Lytechinus pictus: one gene and its partner. The protein of the gene in region 2 binds, or shares a complex with, the protein of the main gene of each other region. Links are inferred from orthologs where the notes say so. Each region holds a gene or a part of one and is shown on either strand. Other genes may lie near its edges.

Evidence for each region. The genes of interacting proteins can lie anywhere in the genome.
Region 1: GATOR2 complex protein MIOS-like (region 2) and GATOR1 complex protein NPRL2-like share a complex: the UniProt entries of both Drosophila melanogaster proteins name them as parts of the GATOR complex. The link is inferred for Lytechinus pictus from reciprocal best matches to the Drosophila melanogaster genes mio and Nprl2.

Annotation. Positions count from the first base shown.
Region 1 is NC_087247.1:42,697,217-42,708,000, reverse strand, and holds the start of GATOR1 complex protein NPRL2-like, read left to right. Parts: upstream 1-6,035; 5' UTR 6,036-6,127; intron 6,128-6,349; exon of another isoform or gene 6,350-6,446; intron 6,447-6,620; exon of another isoform or gene 6,621-6,741; intron 6,742-7,061; exon of another isoform or gene 7,062-7,220; intron 7,221-8,727; 5' UTR 8,728-8,737; coding exon 8,738-8,821; intron 8,822-9,971; coding exon 9,972-10,063; intron 10,064-10,784. UniProt on the Drosophila melanogaster protein: An essential component of the GATOR subcomplex GATOR1 which functions as an inhibitor of the amino acid-sensing branch of the TORC1 signaling pathway.
Region 2 is NC_087257.1:8,781,947-8,793,119, reverse strand, and holds the start of GATOR2 complex protein MIOS-like, read right to left. Parts: upstream 5,274-11,173; 5' UTR 5,187-5,273; intron 3,517-5,186; 5' UTR 3,473-3,516; coding exon 3,346-3,472; intron 1,876-3,345; coding exon 1,766-1,875; intron 1-1,765. Other genes in the region: uncharacterized protein LOC129274479, read right to left, coding at 10,832-10,960. UniProt on the Drosophila melanogaster protein: An essential component of the GATOR subcomplex GATOR2 which functions as an activator of the amino acid-sensing branch of the mTORC1 signaling pathway.

The sequences.
Region 1 (10,784 bases), on a different chromosome or scaffold from region 2:
AAGATTGTACAGCTTCTTGAGTGTTGTGACGAGCCCCTACGGAAGGACCTCACGCGAGCTGCTGGTGGCAGCCTCACCAACAAAACTGAGGATGAGGTGCTGACAGCCATCAAGAAGCTCGCTGTACGAGAGGAGAACACCATGGTTGCCCATGTGACACTCCACAACATGCGTCAAAGACAGGGACGAGACAGTTCGCAGCTTCGTTGCCCGTCTGCGGGGACAAGCAGATATTTGCAAATTCATCATAGCTTGCCCTGCCTGTAATGCTGATGTCAATAAGTCAATTACACTGACGCAATCATGCGGGATGTGCTTATCAGAGGGATTGCCGATTCTGAAATCCAGCTTGATCTTTTAAGGGACAAAAACCAAGACATGGGCCTGGAAGAGGTTTTCCAGTTCGTTGAAACAAAAGAGGCTGGTAAACGCTCTGCCTCCTCTCTCCTCGACTCACACTCGGAAACGGCCAGCAGCTCCTCCTGTAGGAAAGCTAAGCAGGCGAACCCAGGGCCCAAGTACAAACAGGAACTGTGTGCCTACTGTGGCAAGAAAGGGCATGGACGGAGTGCCCCAGCTTGTGTCCGCAAGACGCAGTCACCAGTGCCTGGCCTATGGACAGAAATGTGGTCACTACGACAAGTTCCACCACGTGGAGGACGTCTGCTGCACCAAGGGCAAGCCGAAAACGTCACAGTCGACCTCCTCGGGTGAGCAGGAGGGGGCCATCTTCGATACCCTTTGTACTATCCGTGACCTAGGACAACCACATGGCCTCCCAATTGATCACCACGTATATATATGATGACTTTTCCCAAGCATGGCACAAGAAGAGATCAACTCCTCAGCCATACTTCAACGTGACTGTAAGGGCTGTTCCGGAGGACTATCGAGCCCTCAGGTTTAACCTTTCATCCCCCTCACAAACCAGCGCCATCCCAGCCATGGCGGACACTGCGTGCCAGAGCTGCCTCGCCGGGTTAAAGGTCCTCCGCCGCCATGGGTTACGTCAGCAAGACCTTATTCATCTCACCATGGCGATGCACACCGCAACTGACGGCGGCATTACGATCCTCGGAGCCGTCCCCCTACGCCTCTCTGGCCAAGATCCTCTTGGCCACATGGTCAAGTCACGGCAACTCACTTACATCACAGACAGTTCTGATAAGCTCTTCCTCAGCAAAGAGGCCTGCATTGACTTGGGGATCATCTCAAACAGCTTCCCTACTCTTGGCATGACACAAGGGGCACACCAACCAGACAGAGCAGCCACCCTCAAGGGGCTCCCGAGCGGACCGCCTGTCCCTGCCCTCGGCGTCAACTGCCCCCATCGCCTCCTACAAAACTGCCATTTCCTGCGACTGACGCAAACCATGAGAAGCTACAACAGTATCTCCTAGATTACTACCAGTCCAGCACATTCAACACCTGTGAGCATCAGCCCTTGCCACTCATGGATAGCCCCCCCGATGAAATTGATGGTGGACCCAGATGCGGAACCCGTCGCTCATCACACACCTGTGCGGGTCCCACTCCATTGGCATGATGCCGTCAAGGCTGGTTTGGATCATGACGTGCAGTTGGGCGTGCTGGAACCTGTACCCATTGGGGAGCTTGTTACATGATGCCACAGGATGGTGGTCCGTGCTAAAAAGGACGGTAAACCGCGTCGAACAGTCGACTTTCAAGCCCTCAACATCCATGCTACACGTGAAACGCACCATACACCATCACCCTTCATTCAGGCCTGTTCTGTCCCCCACGGGAAAAAGAAGACGGTATTAGATGCATGGAATGGTTACCACAGCGTCCCCATATGCCCAGAGGACCGACACCTCACCATTTTCATTACCCCATGGGGCAGGTACAGTTACAAGACAGCCCCTCAGGGCTACATTACCTCAGGAGATGGATACACCAGGCGGTATGATGAAATCGTCTCGGATATCCAAAATAAGACGAAATGCGTCGACGGACGACGTCCTCCTGTGGGCTGACACGATGGAAGACAGTTTCTTCCAGGCTGTTGAATGGCTGTCCAGACATCTGCGGCCAAAAAAGGGATTACCCTCAATCCTAGGAAGTTCACGTTCTGTGCGGATATCGTCGAATTCGCTGGCTTTGAGATCACCCCTGACAGCGTTCGCACATGTGAGAAGTACTTACAAGCTATCCTTGACTAAAAAAATATTCCTCTGATTCTTGGAATATTTTCCCAAACTCTTAGAATACCGGTATTTCTGGTATTTTCTGAGCCATCCAATATGATATAGATATTTATAATGATAATAATAATCCGTTTTTTATATAGCGCTTAATACATCGGAACGACGTGTCTAAGCGCTTTACAGATATATTATTACCCCGGTCATCAGATTCAATCAGTCATTTATGCTATTTGGCCTGCGACCGATCGCATGCAATGTTTTGAAATCGGCCGTGAATAATACGTGTGAGGAATTATATACTGGCCCAAAATCACCAATTTTGAGGATAACCGGAGGATGGACACGGAGTGAAATGAGGGTGTAGAGTAAGAAATTAAGCTATTTTTTTTCTATAATTTTTACAATAAACCACTTTTTGATCCCACCTTTGTCACTCGGAATATCCGATCGAGTTCACGGTCCCAAAGTTCGGGTAGGTGGAGCGTAGTGTAGCAGTAGTGAAGTGGAGCCTGCACAAACTTTGCCCGAGGTAGGGGGGAGATAGAGGATTATGTATTATGCACACTGCATCATTGGTGTAATCGTTTGTTCTTTTATGTGCACAGGGATCATGTTCATTGTTAGCTGCCATAGCACCTGAAGCTTCATAGCCCAGAGCAACAAATAGACAAGGGGCCTGTTGCATGAAAGGGTCTTTCGTAGAACCGTTCTACGTAAGAACGAGTTATCGCTCAACTGTTTCACAAAGCCGATTTGGGCGATACCAAGAATGGTCCTTGGAAAGACACCTCCAGAGACCAGACATGTCCTACGTAGACATGATCTTCTTTGCACACCGCCCGCCACCGTCGGCATTGAGAGAAAATGCGTTTACGGCAAGCCACACTGACATATCACATTTTTTGGGGTGTCATTCGATTGCAATCTGATGCATTTTATCTGGGATGGCGCCAACTTATTTTTTTATATGGGGGCTAGTTGTCATCAATTTCAGGTTGTCTTTTTGCATGGCAAGACGACCAAAAACGGATGTCATTTTAACTTATCCAGGGTATGTCCGGGGGTAATGTAGGCCCAAATATTTTTTTTAACATGTTTTCTTTTATTATTCGTCTTATCCCCACCCCTTTTCCATTAAAAAAAAACTTGAAATATCGAAATGGGCTGCACTATCTCTCTGACCCCTCATGCTTTCTCATTTAGTCCATTATATAAACAACCAGGGGTGTGAGTGGTCACAAATAAAAAGATCTGAAAAAAGCTGAAGAGTGTTGAAAAAGTCTGAAATAGAAAGAGCTCCCATACTTTTTGTACAGAGGAAGGCCAAAAATAAGCTGAAATTAAGCTGAAAATCAAAACAAAAAAAATCTGAAATGAGATAAAAATCTGAACTCTCACACCCCTGTAAACAACATAAAAACAATTTAAAAAAATAAAATTATGTATGCTAAAAAACGTGTTTATAACGGTTCAGCAATAAAAAACACAATACAAAACTAAGATGTTAAACATGCTAAATCATTTATTTATTTTTATTTAATTTTCATTATAATTATTATTTTTTTGGCTGAGATTAATTTTAATCAATGAAAATTAATTGTTGGATTTGGGCTAGCATGAGATGTGAAACAGGAAACAAAACAAAAATTCTGCAGTAACAAAATAGCTAATTGAATTTAAGATACAGATTAGGCTCATATAGCTTAAGAATCCATCACAATCATTACAAATGAAGATGAATTCATTGTACCTATAAAAGAAAAGATTATGGAAAGTCCATACCTAGAGGCGCATATTAAATAGTAGGGTAAGCCCTATCGGCCCCTATGTCATAATGTAGTCTCTACTCCTTAACTTTGAAATGTTGAACATATATATTTTTCATATTCTTAAACCTTATATTCTTATATAAACTTCCATAAAGTGATCAACTTTAATATGACCAACGTTTATGATCGTTGTAATTTTTAGCATTATTTCTGTAAATAGCATTTTTTCCATTGCGGATTGATTCACACATTTTTCTATGTTTTAATTATTATTGCAAAGCACTACTTTATCCACTTGGACATGTTTGCAGCAATTTTCATATTTTCCTTGTCTTCGGTTACTCATCATGCAACTGATGAGGTATGTGTACTCTAAACACTCACATTTGTATTTCTTGCGTTATATCTGACAAATAAAATAAATAAATTAGATTTTTCACACGCAGCCTCTCACATTTCTTTTTTAGTCTCATACAATCAGACATGTTGATTTTGTTTAATCCATTCAAACCCTATTTTTATCTCAACAAATAACATTTAACGCATGATTTGCAAAATTATCATTATAACTAAGTATTCAATAAAAATTCAGAATGTTGAACTAATACAATGTCGAAATTACTTAGTTAAATCAATTTTTATGTTGGACAAGGGTCTATTTCGTTGCAATATCAATGAAAGGTGTCTCTAAAAGGACATCATGTTCTAAATAAGGGAAATAATGAAAATTTCGATTTTATCCAGTTTTGTTTGTGAATCTTTAAAGTTTTTGTATCTTTTTACCTCATAAAGTAAGCTCCATAGTATACATCAATTCTACAATCAGTAATAAATAAAACATTATTTGATCTCCTTTTATTGAAATTTATGATTTTATGAAAAGTTGTCATTCCGAAATGAAACTAAAAGGTTCAGGTGACGATGAAGACTAAATATTTTTTCCGATACTATCGATATCAAACGATGTCGCGGACTTGGAAGACTAAATTGCCTTCGTGAAACGGAAACCGCTGATTTGTCGCCAATCTTCCTATCTCGGAAGAATGGTCCTAGGACGTTCCTACGTATCGCTCATGTCGTACTCGTCATGCAACAGGCCCAAGGTTCTTATTAATGCATATGGTTGGAACTACCCCTTAACTCCCACCTAATCTTCTAAGCATCTGCGAAAATATTCATCAATTTTACCCAGTTTTCGTCTCATTTGTGCAGAAAATTGAGCAGATCAGATTCCCATATTTCGCTCGGCGACTCCGATTCAATCCTCGTATATATCGACAAAAAACGAATACGACGATTTTACATTTGCTCATTTGCACCCGTCTTTTGAAACCGACCACCCGCGATACACTAAGTTTACGGCCGATTCTTGTCGCGGTGGCGAAATATTTTTACTCTTCCAAATCATTTCTATGATCATGATGTCAACATGCTAAATGATCGTCTCACTACTTCCAGTGCGAGCTCCGGCACATGATTTGATGATTGACGACGGGTATTTGTTCTAAAGCCGTTTCCTATCGGATTTCTTGGTTTTTCAGCGGGGTTTGGGTTTGGTCAATACAATTTTGATTAATTCTACTAAATTTTTACTTTTTGTTGCTTCTTTTTTTCTCGTAAAATCGATTCATACCGTTTCTATGGACACTGCGCCTACCCTCCCGCGCGTATCGTTTGTAATACGCAATAATTTTAACGCGCGCAAGGTGGTCGGTTTCAAAAGAGGTGGTCGCGATATGTGGTATTGGTAGTCTCACCATACTGTGTACAGCAATATATTTGACCCCCCCCCCCCCCCCCGCCCCCGGGAAAGATGAAAGTTACAAGAAAATTTAAGCCTTATAAGGAAAGATACAAGAAATTCTCAGAATACAGATTTTTTGGCCTTATCCTGAAATAAGTCACCTCTCTACTCGTGTACGTGTGTGTGCTCGCAGCACAGAAGGGTGATATATTCAACTTTCTAACATTCAAGAGACCATTTTGTATCACCAATGCGTGTGATTTTTGATGCACGAAAAGAAGCGAGAAATAACACATTTCTGTGATAATTGTATCCAAAGCACACATTAGCTAAATCGCGGGCCGCCTGCTTGAAGCGCAGCCGTTCATATTCGCACTTCGATCTTCTCAGGATCAGGAGGAGGAGTGAGACTTTGGGTAGCCAAGTTGCTCATTTCAGAATTTACGGTAAATACGAACTTTTCATTCCACCTTAGCCTTAACCTTAGCATTAACTGTCTTACCTTAAAAATCTGGTTTATCCTACAATCAGCCGAGCTCGAGGGACATGCAGTTTGAAACTCTGTCCTAACATCATCCTTTCTTGCGCTATGCTGCTGCGCTGCATGACCGGCCGAACGCACGGGCACGCCCCCTGCCGCCCGGCCCGGCTGGCTTGGTGACGTGAACACTACCACCGGGCCAGGCTCCAGAGCTAGGCGCTAGCCGGCCAGCCAGCCATGGCATGGGCGCGGGCAGGGCATGCATCGTGATCTATGTCCTATGAGTATGACATAGAAAATTGCATGGGCACACATTGAATAGGAAGGGTTTCCTGGCTGGAATAGATGTGGATTCTTCTCATTACGTGAGAACAAACCGACATGCTATGCCATGCCCATGGCCATGCCATGGCCACATAAGCTGAATTGTCAATTCGAAATCCGTCTCTTTACTTTAGACTTTATCGAGTGGAGCCTACAGAGTCAGAGTTTACTTCAGTGCCCAGGGACAGGGTTCAGCGGCAATAAGTACAGAGACTGAAGTCACTGAAGCCCAAATCATCCGAGACTGTCGACTGGGTATTTTATATAAATTTAGATATCTACCAAATTGATGGCAAGATCAAATGTATAGTAAGACTAAGACTAAGAGTTCAAAATTGATTGAGGAAAATGTGAAATACTAGGTCAAGGCGTTTCGCTGTCTATCGCAGTCTCAATATGCAAGTCGAAGAGTGTGAGCAGTATACCCAGTTGTTGTGTGTCCGGACGATCAATTTTAGAAAGTCATTTGGAAAAAATTACAAGCGAAGTTTCATCAATTTTTAGTACAAAACGTTAGGAAATATTATAAAGAACAAAACAGAATATGATTACAAGTATTGAATTCATATTTTTAGTGTAATCCACAGACAAAAAAGAAGGCTTCAAAAAGATAAAGTGTCCGGACACCCGACCCCCCAGCCTACTGGAAATGGTTGTTAAAAAAGCATGACATTAATTTTGTATGCTTTGGAGGTCTATAGAAACAAAAGACAAGCACAGGACAACAAATTTTGGTTAGTAACACATTTTACTCATAGTACTTTTTATAGACTATATAGGCCTTGATAGATCTGGCTCTCGGGCCTAGTAGCCTAGATCTATCTGCTCTGAAAAAAAAAAAGAATTATCGGAAAGGTGACAAATTTCAAATTTACTCGTATTATGTCAATATTTTTGTAGGAATTAAAACTAAACACCTACTTGAGAATAAAAAAATCAGTTTTAAAACAGCATAACTCAGGAACTTAACAATAACAGCAAACAACATATCAGGAACAGAAGACAGAGAATAACTAAACAAAGAGACTGGATCTGTAGTGTTGTATCTGTGTCTGTTCATGTATTAAAATACTCTATTTATACCTTTGGCCTTCCTCGGCCCACATCAAAATTGTTGCTACAGTAACAACATTGTTTAAATCATTATAAAAAACTAACCAATGAAATTAAAGAAAATAGAAGAACCCAACTGAAATGTAGTAATCCAATTCATTGTATAAACCAATGTACAATAAGATGAAGGTGATAAAAGATGTCTTGGTGATTATGTAATAATGGCATTAGAAACTAAGGAGTCAGGTGGGGGATTGAATGAGTGGAACACCTGAATAGAGAAGGACAAAAGAGAATCGGAGGAAAAGAATCCAATGTGGAGATCGGAGGATGAATGAAAACTGAATATAATTAATATACAAATAATGAATGTTTATGAGTGCAATGGACAGAATACTTCATGAGGTGAAAGATGAAATGATCGCTGAGTTGAATGGATCATTCATTTCATCTTTAACCGAATGAAGTATTCTTTCCATTGCACGATTGAAAAAAAAAATCATTATTTGGTTTATATGAAACCTAAAAATTTACCTTTTTTCATATGAAATTTATGAATTTCGATGCAAGAGTTCGGTCTGCTGATTGTTACATCATTACAACATGTGCACTGGAAACACAAGTAGTACGTCCCTGCAGCCTGCAGTCTCTGTGCGCGCGTGTAATGGACAAAATCGTATGGATCCAAAATTGCATGGTTGATGACGTAATAGCAAAATGGGCTGAATGAATGATATCAAACAACCAATCAATTCACAAGGATCTATCTAGGTGTCATATAAACTCAAATAACCTAAGTTCAGACTGCAAGGGCAGTGCTGAAAAGAAATGCAAAAGAACACAAGTCTAGACAGAACAGAAATGAAGAAAACACAAGTTAAAGAAAATGAACAAAATAGGAAAATTACAAAATAACCATCCTACATTTTCATGAATAGGCCTACTTATTTCATCTAAAAGAATTGACGTTTCAAGGTATAACTTTAGGTTAGGGAGTCTATTTTTGTGTTAGTGTATGGTAGTGTCAGATTCACAAGCCTTAAATGTTTTTTTAGAAGTAGATACTTAGTAAATGAACATAGACGAGATATCACATATTACGTTTGGACACACTGTCATACTAACCTAAAATAGATGTGTCTGCGATAATGTAATAATTCCTTTCTTCTTTATTTTTTTCATTTACAGACTCAAAAGTATGGCAGCTTTACCTGCAGGTAAACTGAAATGCATCTTCTTCAGTGAATTTCACCCACAAGCTGGACCTAAAATCACGTATCAGGTAGATCTACTAAAAATTTTGATAAGATGTTCAAACTTTCAAGAAATTAGTAGAACTGGGCTATTTTTTTTAACTGTATGCTACTGCATTGTACACTCACCAAATGACAAACACAGTCAGGGAGTCCAGGGAGAAACATGACACTTTTCATCTTTCAGATATATAACCTTGTAGGCCTAACTCTTAATATTTGGACTGAACAAAATATCTTTGTTTGTTAACAGACTATAGATATACCATAGAGCTATTACAGAGCTCTATGGATATACTAAGGTAAATATTGCAGTAAATGTTGATTTCCCAAGATTTGACTCTCATAGATTTGGCAAACTTCTAAGTTTTGGGGCAAAAAGTGAGACCCTGGGGAGAAATGCGACACCCACACTGCATACTATCACAGAATATTATTCTTATATTATTGATTGCATATTAGTTAAGTCCCATTTCATATACAAAACATCTGAGATTGATGGCTGCATGTAGTTTTAATTAAGCTTTTCATCATGAAAAATAATATCAACTATAGTCATTTATTCACCAATTGGTTAGCCACTGTAAGAAAAAAAAACTCTAAATAGATGTTTAAAAAAAGTAAATCGGGGATTGTTTATCTGGCTTCCATGCAACATTTTACAGCAGTTGTTAGCATATTTTTGAAAGGGTGTTGGATGAAGCCTATTGAATGATTTAGGCCTATATGACATTCATATTTTCTTCTTATCTTCCTTTATCCTTCCATCTCTGTCTTCCCCTCCTCCTTCTTCAGATGTTTCCTAAATACATTCAGGTTGTGGTCAGTACAGAACTTTACAGAACTTGATGGATTATTTTTATAAACTAATGCATTTGGGTTTAGTGGAGAGGGAGAGTTATTTTCTGTTGTTTTGTTTCTAATCCATATATGTATGTAAAAAAAAAAAAAAAAAAAAAAAAAACCAGACAGGCCAAATAAGAGAGGTCTATAGACAGATTTATTCCATCTAGGCAAATTCCAACCTTGATGATAATGATGATGATTTTGTTGGTGGTTGTGGTTTAATATGATGATGATGATATTGAAGAATGATGATCGGTTTTACCTGATGATGAAGTTTCACAGAGTCTAAATTGCATTTTGCTGTGAAATACGTACATTGCCTTTCACCTGCAGGTTCCAGATGATTACTTTTCTAGGGAGCTTTTTGATATAGTCTCTGTCTACATCATCCCAAAGCCTGAATTACAAGACAAGCTCATCACCGTGTAAGTTTGCAGAGCTCTTGCAAATATTCAAAACAAAATTTAATTACCTGTATGAGTTGTGTTCTTATTTGTTGGAATGTCAAATGATATATGTGATATATTTCCCCAATTATGATAGATTTCACATGAGAAATTTATATTGTCACTTTTATTCCCAATTTATTTTATGCCATGATGACGATCCTTTCATGTCTTCGTGGTGTTGGGCTGCTCTTTTTTTTTCAGATCAAATCCCCAAATCTTTTTTATCTCTCCTATTCTCTCATGCTAAACAAATATAGCTGATCTTATAACAGCGAATTGTATAATTGAGTGTAACTTTAAATTCATGGGAAATAGCCAATAGGTATATAAGCTTATTTCACATTTGCAAAAAAATTCAAAACCAGGTACATATGATTTCAACAGTAAAATAGGTATAAAATAACATTGGCCCGAATTCACAAAGGTGGTTTTGAAAACCCATAGTTGAATCCATGGTTTATGCAGATTTCCTGTATTAATTACGCCTAATTTAGCGCGTATCGGGCGCGTGTATAAAAAATGTCCAATGCTGATGCGCGTTTTTGTCATAGTACGCCAAATTGACGCCTGTTACCATGGTAAGATACGCTATTTTATTCATGAATCCACTGTTTTAAGAGTGGACTCATTATTCAAAACAGTGGACTTATGAATAAAAGAGCAAGGATAACCACGGCAACAGGCGTCAATTTGGCGC
Region 2 (11,173 bases):
TTGGGGCAATATTATGAATGCATTTAATAACAGCATCAGCACAATATTTCAAATGAGGATATATTTTTTAATATATGAACTACATGTTTATGTAGAGCGGTGTTGGCTCAGTCGGTAACGCGTCTGCCCGTCGAACCAAAGATCGTGGTTCGAGTCCACCCCGGGCGGATGACTGAAGCCAGTGCGTTGTGTGTAAACGTCTCTCCCATGTTTCATAGATGCAGGCTATGTTACAATGGAAAACACACCGTCCCTCGGATAGGACGTTAAATGGAGGCCCCGTGTAGAGGAGAGTCATCACCTTTGCACGTTAAGAACCCACTGCACTATTCGTATAAGAGTAGGGGGAAACAACGGTGTAGTGGTCCACCTGCACTTCCCCAATCAGTTATATCGGGAGAGACCTGAGGGTCATAGTGATTCAGTTCGCTTTTCGCCTCCCAGGCACAGGTGACGACAAACAAATAATAATAATAATGTATTAAAGTCTTATTTATTATTATTTCATGTTCATCATTGATGTTATATGTTTTATTGTTTCCAAAACAGGGCCTCATGAAAGACCACCAATCTTGCGATTTGTGTCACAAATATCAGATAGAAAATAAATAAATAAATGAATAAATAAATACATACATAAATATATACATACATTAAATAAATAAATAGATAAATAAATAAATAAGTATGTAAGTAAACAAATAAATAAATAAATAAAATGAATATGAAGAAGGATATGGAGAATTTATATTCAAGTTAGTTTGGCTCATCTATAACAATTAGAATCATCACATTATCAATGTTTGTGTGATAATTTATCTTATGTTTCATTTCTTTTTTATTAATTCTAGATTCTAGCAATTACCACAATACTTTTCCCCCATTCAATATCCAAACTTAAATGTTATTCAAAGTTGATTTATCAAATGATTTCCACTCTCCAAGCTCGATGTACATGTATTTATAGTTAGAAAGCCACTTGTACTAATGGAAGAATCTCTGGGATTTAGATAGCAAAAAAATATTGATTTGAATCAATAGAGATAAATCAAACAGGCATAACGCTAAAAACTTCATCACATCGGATGTAAAATAAGGAAGTTATGACATTTTAAAGTTTTGCTTATTTTTCGCAAAACGCTTATATGCACAACTCATTGACAGAGTCCATGATGTACCTCACTCACGAATTCTTTTGTTTTATGGTTTGAATTATACAATTTTTACAGATTTGACAATGATGACCAACTTGACTGAGCCACAAAATGTCAAAACTGACCTCTCAGCGTATAATAATAGCCAATATTTATATGGCGCTTTTCCCAGAATGGCTTAAAGCGCTTTACAGCATATTATTACCCCGGTCATTGGATTCATTTCAATCCCGCACGAAAAGTGCACAATTTTCACTCCCCGGGGAGCATTCCTTGCATTCATCGCAGCCTCATTATGGGCGCTGGCAAATTCAAACATACAATATCTTTCGCATCCTACCGGGTACCCATTTAGCACCTGGGTCGAGAGTGGCAAAAGTGTGGATTAACGCCTTGCCAAAGGATGCTAGATCGCGGTGGGATTCAAACACACGACCCTTGTTTGCAAGGCGAGAGTCAGAACTACTACACCACGGCTCTTCCACTGGTTGAGGATAACTGGTTGAGGTATCTTTTTTAATAATAAAAACCTCCACGACATGTCTGTTTGCGTTGGAAATAGATACCTAAGATGGAAGTGATCTAAAAATATCAGATCAATGAAGCCTTACTTTTATTCTTTGCACTTCATCTTTGTTGTTTGTAAAGAGATCCGACTTGGAGAACTGAAGGCGAGCAAATCCCGTCTCGGAGACCTGCCGACCTGACGGCTTAGACGATCCTGTCAAAAGAATAGAAGTATCAGGTGATTTGAGCATCATTTATTTACTGCAATTAGTACATGTATAATGTGTATCATCAGGGCCCCATCATACAAAGAGTTGCGATTGATCCGCTCAACCACAACTATGGACGTCCAACAACGTCAAGATCTAACATGCAAATTTGTTCAAAATATTTTCTTGATATGATGTATATTCATACATTCATCATTCTCTTGAAGATTCAGTGTGATTCTCTTTGTTTCCTAAGGAGAGTGTGCAAATTTCCTGCAGAAAAAATTATGGTATGGATGGATTTCCATAGAGTTACGATTGATTGGATCAATCGTAACTCTTTGTAAGACGGGGCCCAGTTGTAACTAAAGTGGATACATGTATTCAATACATTTTGGAGGCGATATCATTTCTAAATGTGCAATCTGAAAAAAGATGTCAATTTCTTTACAATACAATGATTATATTACAATTACTATTACTATGAAATAATCAAACTTCTCGTAGGTTCGACCCCCATATTTCTCTATTTTTACTTTATCTTGTGAATTGCCCAAGACATGATAATGCGAGGGCTTTCTCATATGAACTTTTCACACTGTAGAAAGGTTAATTGTACATTTGGTTTGCTTTTGTTTGACATCTGTTCAGTTCATTTAGTTCAGTCTGGTATGTGTTTCAGTCAGCTACCTATAGATACTTGTGTTCTTATACCACGGTCACATTTGCTCTACGGCCGCCGTACGGCGAGTCAAAAACAGTCGTTTCAACATTTTTTGTACCTGCTACATGATATAGACATGATAGATGGTTTGAATAACAATTAATAAAACGGCTGCTTTCGACTCGCCGTACGGCCGCCGTAGAGCTTATGTGACCGAGGTATTATTCATCACATCAGCCACTATCCTACTCCTCTAGTCATCTTCATTCCTTTCCTATTCAGATGTACTCATTCATTCCATCCTCATATCTGGTACTTTTGTTGAACATTCTTCATTACATAATCACCCTTGTCATTTACCCATCATCACGTCAGTCCTTTTTCACTGTTTATTTTTATGAATTGGGCAACTACATTTTCTTTGGGTTCTCCTATTTTCTTGAATTTCATTGGTTAGCTTTAGGTTAATGTAAATAATGTAATGTTACTGTGGATACTACTTCATGTAGGGCCAGGAAGATATAAGAAGAAAGATATTTTTGTTAATAAAGATGCAGATACAGAGATAGATACACCCAGTCACTCTCATCGATTATTTTGTTCACCGTCTTCGGCTCCGTATGTTCCTGTTATATTTGCTGTTATGTTCCTGTTGAATTTAAACGGATATCATTTCTTCCCATCGACAAATCAAACCTCCCAATACAAGTAGATGTTTATTTCACAAACCCTACAATATGAACTAGAATAAAGAGACAAATCATTTCAGGAAAGTCAGAGATCTACTGCCTTATAATGGTAATTGTCTTACCATAGTTGGCGAGTGGCTCTACGGCAAACTGATTGAACTCGACTTGGTTGGTTCCAACAGAAAGAGAAAAGAATGTCTCGGGATGCACTGGGGACCACTGAACATCCTGTGTCCACTTGCTCGTCATCTTGGTATCCAAATTCTAAGGTAGAGGATTGCAACTCGGCATTACTGTCAAAGTATAATAGAGAATGATACGAGAAGGATTGTAAATGTAATTATGAGATGTTGGGGGCAATTGACTGTCTCCTTGACTTAGATGTTTTGGGATGTACAATTTACAAAAATATAGCTACCGGTACTTTTATTGACAGGTAGGTTTATCAAGGAAGTCATACACTGTATTCAGCGCTGACTGATTCATTTCATCAGAATCATCACTGACGAACTAAATCCGACTCATGAACTGTCTTATCTATTCTTCAAAATTGGAACCAGCGTGTACATCGCTAGATGGAAAATTCTCCATAAAATTGTGCATACTAGTTCACATTTCAACGAGTAGAATTAAAGACAGTTTACAAGTGAGATGTATTTCATCAGAACCATCAATGATAGACTAAATTTCACTAGTAAATTGTCTTGCTGGCCATAAGTGGCAACAGACGGAATAAAAAAAAAAAAAATAAATAAAATTGTATTAAAAAAGAAGAAAGAAAACAGAAAGGGGATAACATTTGATCTCTCTGGCATGTCTGGCTTGAGACATTGCAGGACAGGTGCCTTTTCAACTGCTCTTCCTTATTTCAACATCTCAATCAAAATTTAGGTCTATGAATGATTGAAGTTTTAAAATAATGAAAATCTAGTAATCATCACAACCTCAGACTCGGTGTCATGTTAAAACATTATAATTTTCATAAGAATAATAAAAAATTCAAACCACCATTTTGAGGGGAATAATACACTGAGCCTACTATGGGGCTCATACTGACTGCTAGATGGCTAGCCATCTGTGTAGGATGAGAAATCAAACAAGTGAAATAAAAAATGTTCAAATACTCCTCCATCAAATCAAACGGAACAGTTGGTAATTTTGGGAACTGAAATATTCACAATTTCACGATTCTATTTTAGAGTTCTAGTCAGGCAGATTATATATTGACTGGGTATAATAAAAAAATTCACCAATTTGATCCCAAAGCTAGACTTAACTCTGTATGACTTGGCGTAGACAGCTGGCAGCCATCTGTTTCGAGTTTTTTAACATTTTAATTTTTTTTAATTTCTCCTCGTACACAGACGGCTCGCTATCGTGCAGCCACCATTAGGGGGTTTACAATGCAAAATCCCCCCGACGGGTCTTATCTATTTTTATTTCATACAAATACATAAAAAGAACTGTACCAAAATTAAGATTATTATTCCGTTTTAGCCTGAAATGCACCAAAACGGGGAAAAATAAACTTAAAAGGGGGAAAAACAGTGACTTACTTCGGCTGTCGCGCAACTTCACTTCCCGTTTTAAACTTTTATCCGAACTTAACGGCCATTGAGTCCCTGTACATGTCGCACTAGAACTTCGGTGTCTGTATTTGGTGAGTGGAGCCAATGGAGTTCAGCGGAACAACCAACATAACATAGACCGAAGCTTTTGGTCTAGACTTCGCGCAGCGCTCTCGCAATTGCATTGAATTTGTGTGATTCTGGCCCGACATCATTTACAGGGTGTGGGACTGTATATTTTGCGAATTCTTAATCACTCAAATCAGTTTCATATTTTGAGCTACAAAATGTCATAAACAATAAATAGTTTGGTACATTTGACAAATTAAAATGAAGGAATCTGGGATGCATCTAAATCTGAAAGACAATGAAACAAATAATTATTTTTTTCTTACCTCTATCCTGTAAGAAACTGGATCGCCCTTTGCAAAGTGATTTCGGTTTGTGTGATCATTGATTGCGATGGCTCCCGCTGCTAAAGGTGGCGACTAATAAGCTCATGAATACGACGTTGTACCATAGAGATGTATACTAATTACGTTATTAGTATACATCTCTATGCGTTGTACCGATCATATCCGTATGCATAATGCATGCGACCAAGCGACTAATAAAGGCAATCTCTTGATCCTCGGAGGGGTGGGCAACAGGGTACTGACCGCGGAACTGTGGGGGGGGGGGGGGGGGGAGGGGGGCTTCAGCCCCCACTCTTTTTAGTGACCATGAAAAAAAACCCGCGAAAATGACCATCTAATTGTGAAAAAAAAAAAGAAGAGTATCAATAGAGATCTCTGGTTCGATTTTAACTCTGTATTACCCTTAATCAGGGTGCTAAATAACTTTTTAGAAGCACTTGCCCAGTCGGGCAAGTACATTTTTGAATGGTTCAAATATACTTGCAAAAAATTTATTTCACTTGCCCGAAAAAAATCATTGAAAAAAAAAAGTTTCACCCCTTCAAAAGAAAGTATTGCGGCTTTATGAACCATTGACCTTTTTCTCTCTTTTGACCTGATCTAGTACCTTGTTATTGACATCGACCGTAATTTTGGCCATTCTACTGTGAGAATTCTACTTGCCCAATTTTGGCAAGTAGTTTTGGTCTTTACTTCAAAACACTTGCCCGACTCTAACTTTTACTTGCCACGGGCAAGTGCTTACGTAGCACCCTGCCTTATTTCAATTGGGAAAAGGAATTCGTCACCACATTTTAACAGTGGCGTAACAGGCGGGGGGGCATGGGGGGCAAGTTGCCCCCCCTGGCGGATTTCACCGGGAAAAGAAAAGAAAAACGGGAAAAAGAAAAAAGGAGGGAGAAAGAAAGGGGAAGGGAAAGGAAAGGGGAAAAGGAAAGGGAAAAGAAAACGAAGAAATCCCATTTTTTTAATGGAAAAGGAAGGAAAGCGGGAAAATGTAGGAAAGAAGAACATTAAGGCCTATGTAATGCAATAACACGGTGGGAAATAAATTAAAAGATAAAAAATGGCAAACAATAGCGGGAAACGAAGGTAGAATGTAATTCGCCAAAAGCTAAATTGGAAAACAAAGGAAAGGGACAAGAAAAATAAATAATAATACGACCGGGCTGCCGATGATTGAAATTAAAGAACGGGAAGAAAGACGGGCTGCATACAACATTGTGCTATCACGTTGCTAAATTTTATGCAAATGAGCTACCGGTGCTTTGCCCCAGACCCCATGCAGTAGGGGTTCTTCATTTAAAACCTTCAAATGGCTCTATAACGCCCCCCGTTCAATCACTGGCATACAGGCGCGGAGGGGGGGGGGGGGGTCTTGGTTCCACACCCAAGAGGAAATAAAAGAAATTAAAGGAGACAACATATAATGAAATGAACGGAACCAATGAAATGTGTTATTTGCTGAATATAATGAAAAAATCTATCACATAATTAGAATTTAATTTCAATAGGCAATATTTTTCCAGCTCGCTTTGCACACTGGCGACTTTTTACAAACTTTTCCAAAATTGCTATGTTTTGCCCCCCCCAAATATTTGGTGATTACGCAACTGGGTTAAATAAATGTGTTGTGTAAGAGCTATATTCTGTATATGCCCGCGATTTTGATTAAAATAGCGGCAATCTTTGAAGTTTTACATGTTTTATGATGGCTTTGATATCAAGAAGTTCCGGGGGCTCCGCCCCGGACCCCAACCGCACAGCACTGCGTATGGAAGGGTTGGGCCATGGCCCCAAAAAGTTCTACAGACAAGAAAAAAAAGGAGGAAAGAAAAGCAAAGGAAAAGTGTAGGATATGATTTTATTTACTGAATATAATGTCAAAAAATAGCTCAAAGTTAGATTCTCATGAAAAGGTGATTTTTTTCTCGCTCGCTTCGCTCGCTCTGGACTTATATAGAGCAGCTTTTTAGAACATGTGCTATACTGCGCCCCTCGTTTTTTTTTTTTTTTTACTCTTCACGCTACTGCCGCAAAGAATCCTGTTCACAGTGGCGTACAGACCACAAAAAAAGGAATCTAAAGAGAGAAGAGTGAAATATATTATTTTTTGGATATCATGTCAAAAATCTAGCACAACATTTTAATTTTTCAATTAAAAAGGTCAAAATTTTTGCTCGCTCGCTTCGCTCGCTTGAAACTTTTTTTAAAGATAAATTCAGCCCGATACGCAATATCTGGCCTTCTCAATGTGTCGCCTCATTACACCATTACGCCTGTTCATACCATGATATGACCGGGAAATTTTTGGCTCTTGCCCCCCCTGGCCACCGACCCCTGTTACGCCGCTGCACATTTAGGTCCCTAGCTAGTCCCACCTCTGGCCTGCAAGATACCGTGATAAATCATAGGGGCATCATTTTTTAAATATCATTTTGTGTCTTGGGGATCCTGCGAATTGACAGTATAAATGAAAGTGGCACATGCCTATTCTCCATTGCTTCATCCTACGATGAGGAATAAAAAAATAGGATTGATGTATTAAAAGATAGGATTGATTTGAATCATATTCGTGTGTTCATTAATTGGCAACGAAAGTTTGACGAAAGGTGTCCTGCCCGGTGTCCTGTTCAAAGCTAAATGAAATGTGTGCCATTCTCTTCACAAATCGGAGTTCGAGTTTATTTGAATGAATGGAATTATAAAAATCAAGAAGGGGCCATTCAATAATTAAAACAATGAAACATAAATCTCCTCATTCGAGCTTGACCACACATTTTACAAAACAACCCTAAATGAGTTATTTCTCAATTTTATTCGGTTTTATCCCCCCTGATGTACAATTTTACACAGGACATTTTAATAATGTCTATGCAAAACATAGGCTTATCGTAAAAAAAAACCCCACAAGGTCAACAATATCTGAAAATACATGATTTAACTATAAATAGTTTGCCACGATCTTTCTATATTTTTTTTGGTACTATAATAACAAAATATGAAATGATACATAAATGATTGCCACAACCAAGCTTGAAATTGAAAGTAGAAATGGAGAAACGAGATGCCGGGAGAGATAAATGATAGTAAAAAAGAATGTGTTTGCGTGTTATAGAGAGAGATAGAGAGAGTTTCAAGTTTCAAGTTTATTTTTATTGATTTCAAATCCAAACATAAAGGATTACAATAAAAATGAAATGCACAATTTTTTTTTACAAATTAGTATCGAACATCAAGTAATTTACAATGATAAATTAACATTTCTAACAATAAACAGAGTGACAAATTAAACGAAACCAAAACAAAAGGAGAAATATAACAAAACAAATCAAATGCAGGAAAAAAAAATCAACTATATGCTGTCAGAGAGAGTGAGAGAGAGAGAGAGGGGGGGGGGGAGAGGGCATTATAGAGAGAGGGGGGTGGTAGGGGCCGGGGAGAGGGCCGGGAGATAAACCTTTCCTGATAATATCCTAAGAATTTACAAATTGAAAAAATGAATTCCCAACCTATTCAAACCCCTCTAGCTCTCTCTGCACCTTATCCCCTCTTTTAAAATTATGGGGAAAATTGTAAGCACCAAGTGGAATACCTCAACATTAAACCACTCTCTCTATCTCTCTTCACATGCCTTACCGATTCATTTGTTACATTATTCCCTCATTTCTTTTCATTCCCTTTTCTTTCTTTTTTTCCTTCCTTTGTTTTCTTTCTTTGCCTTTTCTCTCTGTCTTTTTTCCTTTCTGTCTTCTTTCTTTCTTTCCTTCTTTCTTTCTTTCTTTCTTTCTTTCTTTCTTTCTTTCTTTCTTTCTTTCTTTCTTTCTTTCTTTCTTTCTTTCTTTCTTTCTTTCTTTCCTTCCTTCCTTCCTTCCTTCCTTCCTTCTTTCTTTCTTTCTTTCTTTCTTTCTTTCTTTCTTTCTTTCTTTCTTTCTTTCTTTCTTTCTTTCTTTCTTTCTTTCTTTCTTTCTTTCTATGATTCATTTTATTTTGTCATTCTTTCTTGTTCTTTTTCTTATTTTTTTCCTTCCTCCCTTCCTTCCTTCCTTCCTTCCACCCTTTCTACTTTTTAAAAAAACTGTTTGTTCGTTTCTTCCTTCTCGTCTTGTCCAGCTCCCCTCTTTTCATTTCTTTACTCACCGTGAATAAGCATAATTTCATACTCCTTTCACTAAAATCGGTTTAAAAAAGCTGATTTAATCAGGATAATAACAATTTATACAAACATACACTTTTATTTTAAGGCGAAACCTACTATCCACATAACGAGATCACACTCTCTCTATCTCGATAAATAATGCATACAATTTAATGTCTTAATTCATGCAAACAATTAATATTAATCATACATGCAACTATTTCAAAGCATTCAGCAATAATATGAAATAAGTAAAATCATGATATCACAAAAATATATTGGCAAAAAGATTGTTATAGTTGGGAAAATGAAATGACTTATCATGATTGTAATGATAGTATTAAGAGATCATGACATGTATGTTACAATCAAGCAATAACAGCTTTTACAAATAAAACATTTTACTTCAACTATTTCTTTAATGTCCAACATGCCCCATCAATAAGTTGATTTGATCATAGAAATAAAATTTTACAAGTATGAAATTGAACTATTAAAAAAATCGAATGTTGAAAATAATGCAAAATAAAAAACGAGACATTACTATCACACAGAATAATAACTTTTAAATTTAATTTTATAAAAAATGTATTTTTTTAATACTTTAATTGTGTCATTTATTCTTGAGTTGACCAAGTGGCCCAGTGGGCCTAGATTATACGGCTCCACTGCTTAGAATGTGGGATTATGGGTCAGGAACCCGGTCAAAGTTGAGCAGTTGAAGCTTGAGGTGGTGCTATATCATACAATGTAGTATAGTGGCGCTGTTTTGTCTCGGTTTTAAATTGTGCAGAATAACCAGTATTAATGTCATGGACTCGCTTGTTCGCATATCAGTGATGCGTTTATAACCTTCTTACTTTACATCAGATTTTAATGAAATTTTCAGTACACCCGTCTGACTTTTGTCTTTATTCATCATTTATTAATTCATGTTTTCTTTATAAAAAAAACAGGCTAGTCCCATTCAAGCCAGCTAGAGGCCTGCTTTACAAGGGAGCCCTGCTATCTTGTTTGACCTTTAAATAGCGAATCCACCTAGAAAAAACATGCAGTCTCGTGGAAAAAATCTTTATAATCCAAGTAGATTAGTCATCATGGGTCAGAAAAGGGTAATAGAAGAGGGTGGGGAAAAGGGCCCTTCTGACACCCGGGCCAGGCGGGTGTAATTGGGGTTATGACATATTTTCCTTAGAGCTTGTCGCAGAATTTTAGAAGAAAGAAATGACCCCTTGTCAATGTGCCCCGAGTGCCCGATCCTAGATCCGCTGTTCCCTAATCTACTTTCCTCAAAACTCGAGTGGTAAATCGAAAAATTTCCAGAAACATGAAGACGTCCATAAATAATGATTCGTCCCATGCATTTTTTTCTTCAAAAAAGCTTTTGTTATTCATCTTATTCCTTAAAAACAATTTTCGAGACAATTGACCCCTTACACTCTGTTTATATCTGCCTATCAACGTTTGGACCGGTTACACCAAGGCATCATCTATGAAGATCATCGAACATGACCGTACTCTGTGTGTCGTTGGGTCCTTGTAAGCTCGGTTTCAGAGGAGGATCGTTCCGCCTGACGTAGTCCCGTAAAAACGCTTGGACACCACGTACTCCTTGCTGCGAGAGAAGAGGAAAAACAATTCACATGAAATTAAAACGAGAGGTTTGATTTCTTGTGATTGAGAAAGACGCTATATAGGCGTAGCTGAAATAAAAACGGCGGACGAATGAGGAGAACTGTAAGAATTATTCTAGGTCCTCGCTTCACATCATATATGCGTGACTCTGCACTTGAAACACTTTACTTAAAGTTTTTAGCTGATTGAAGAA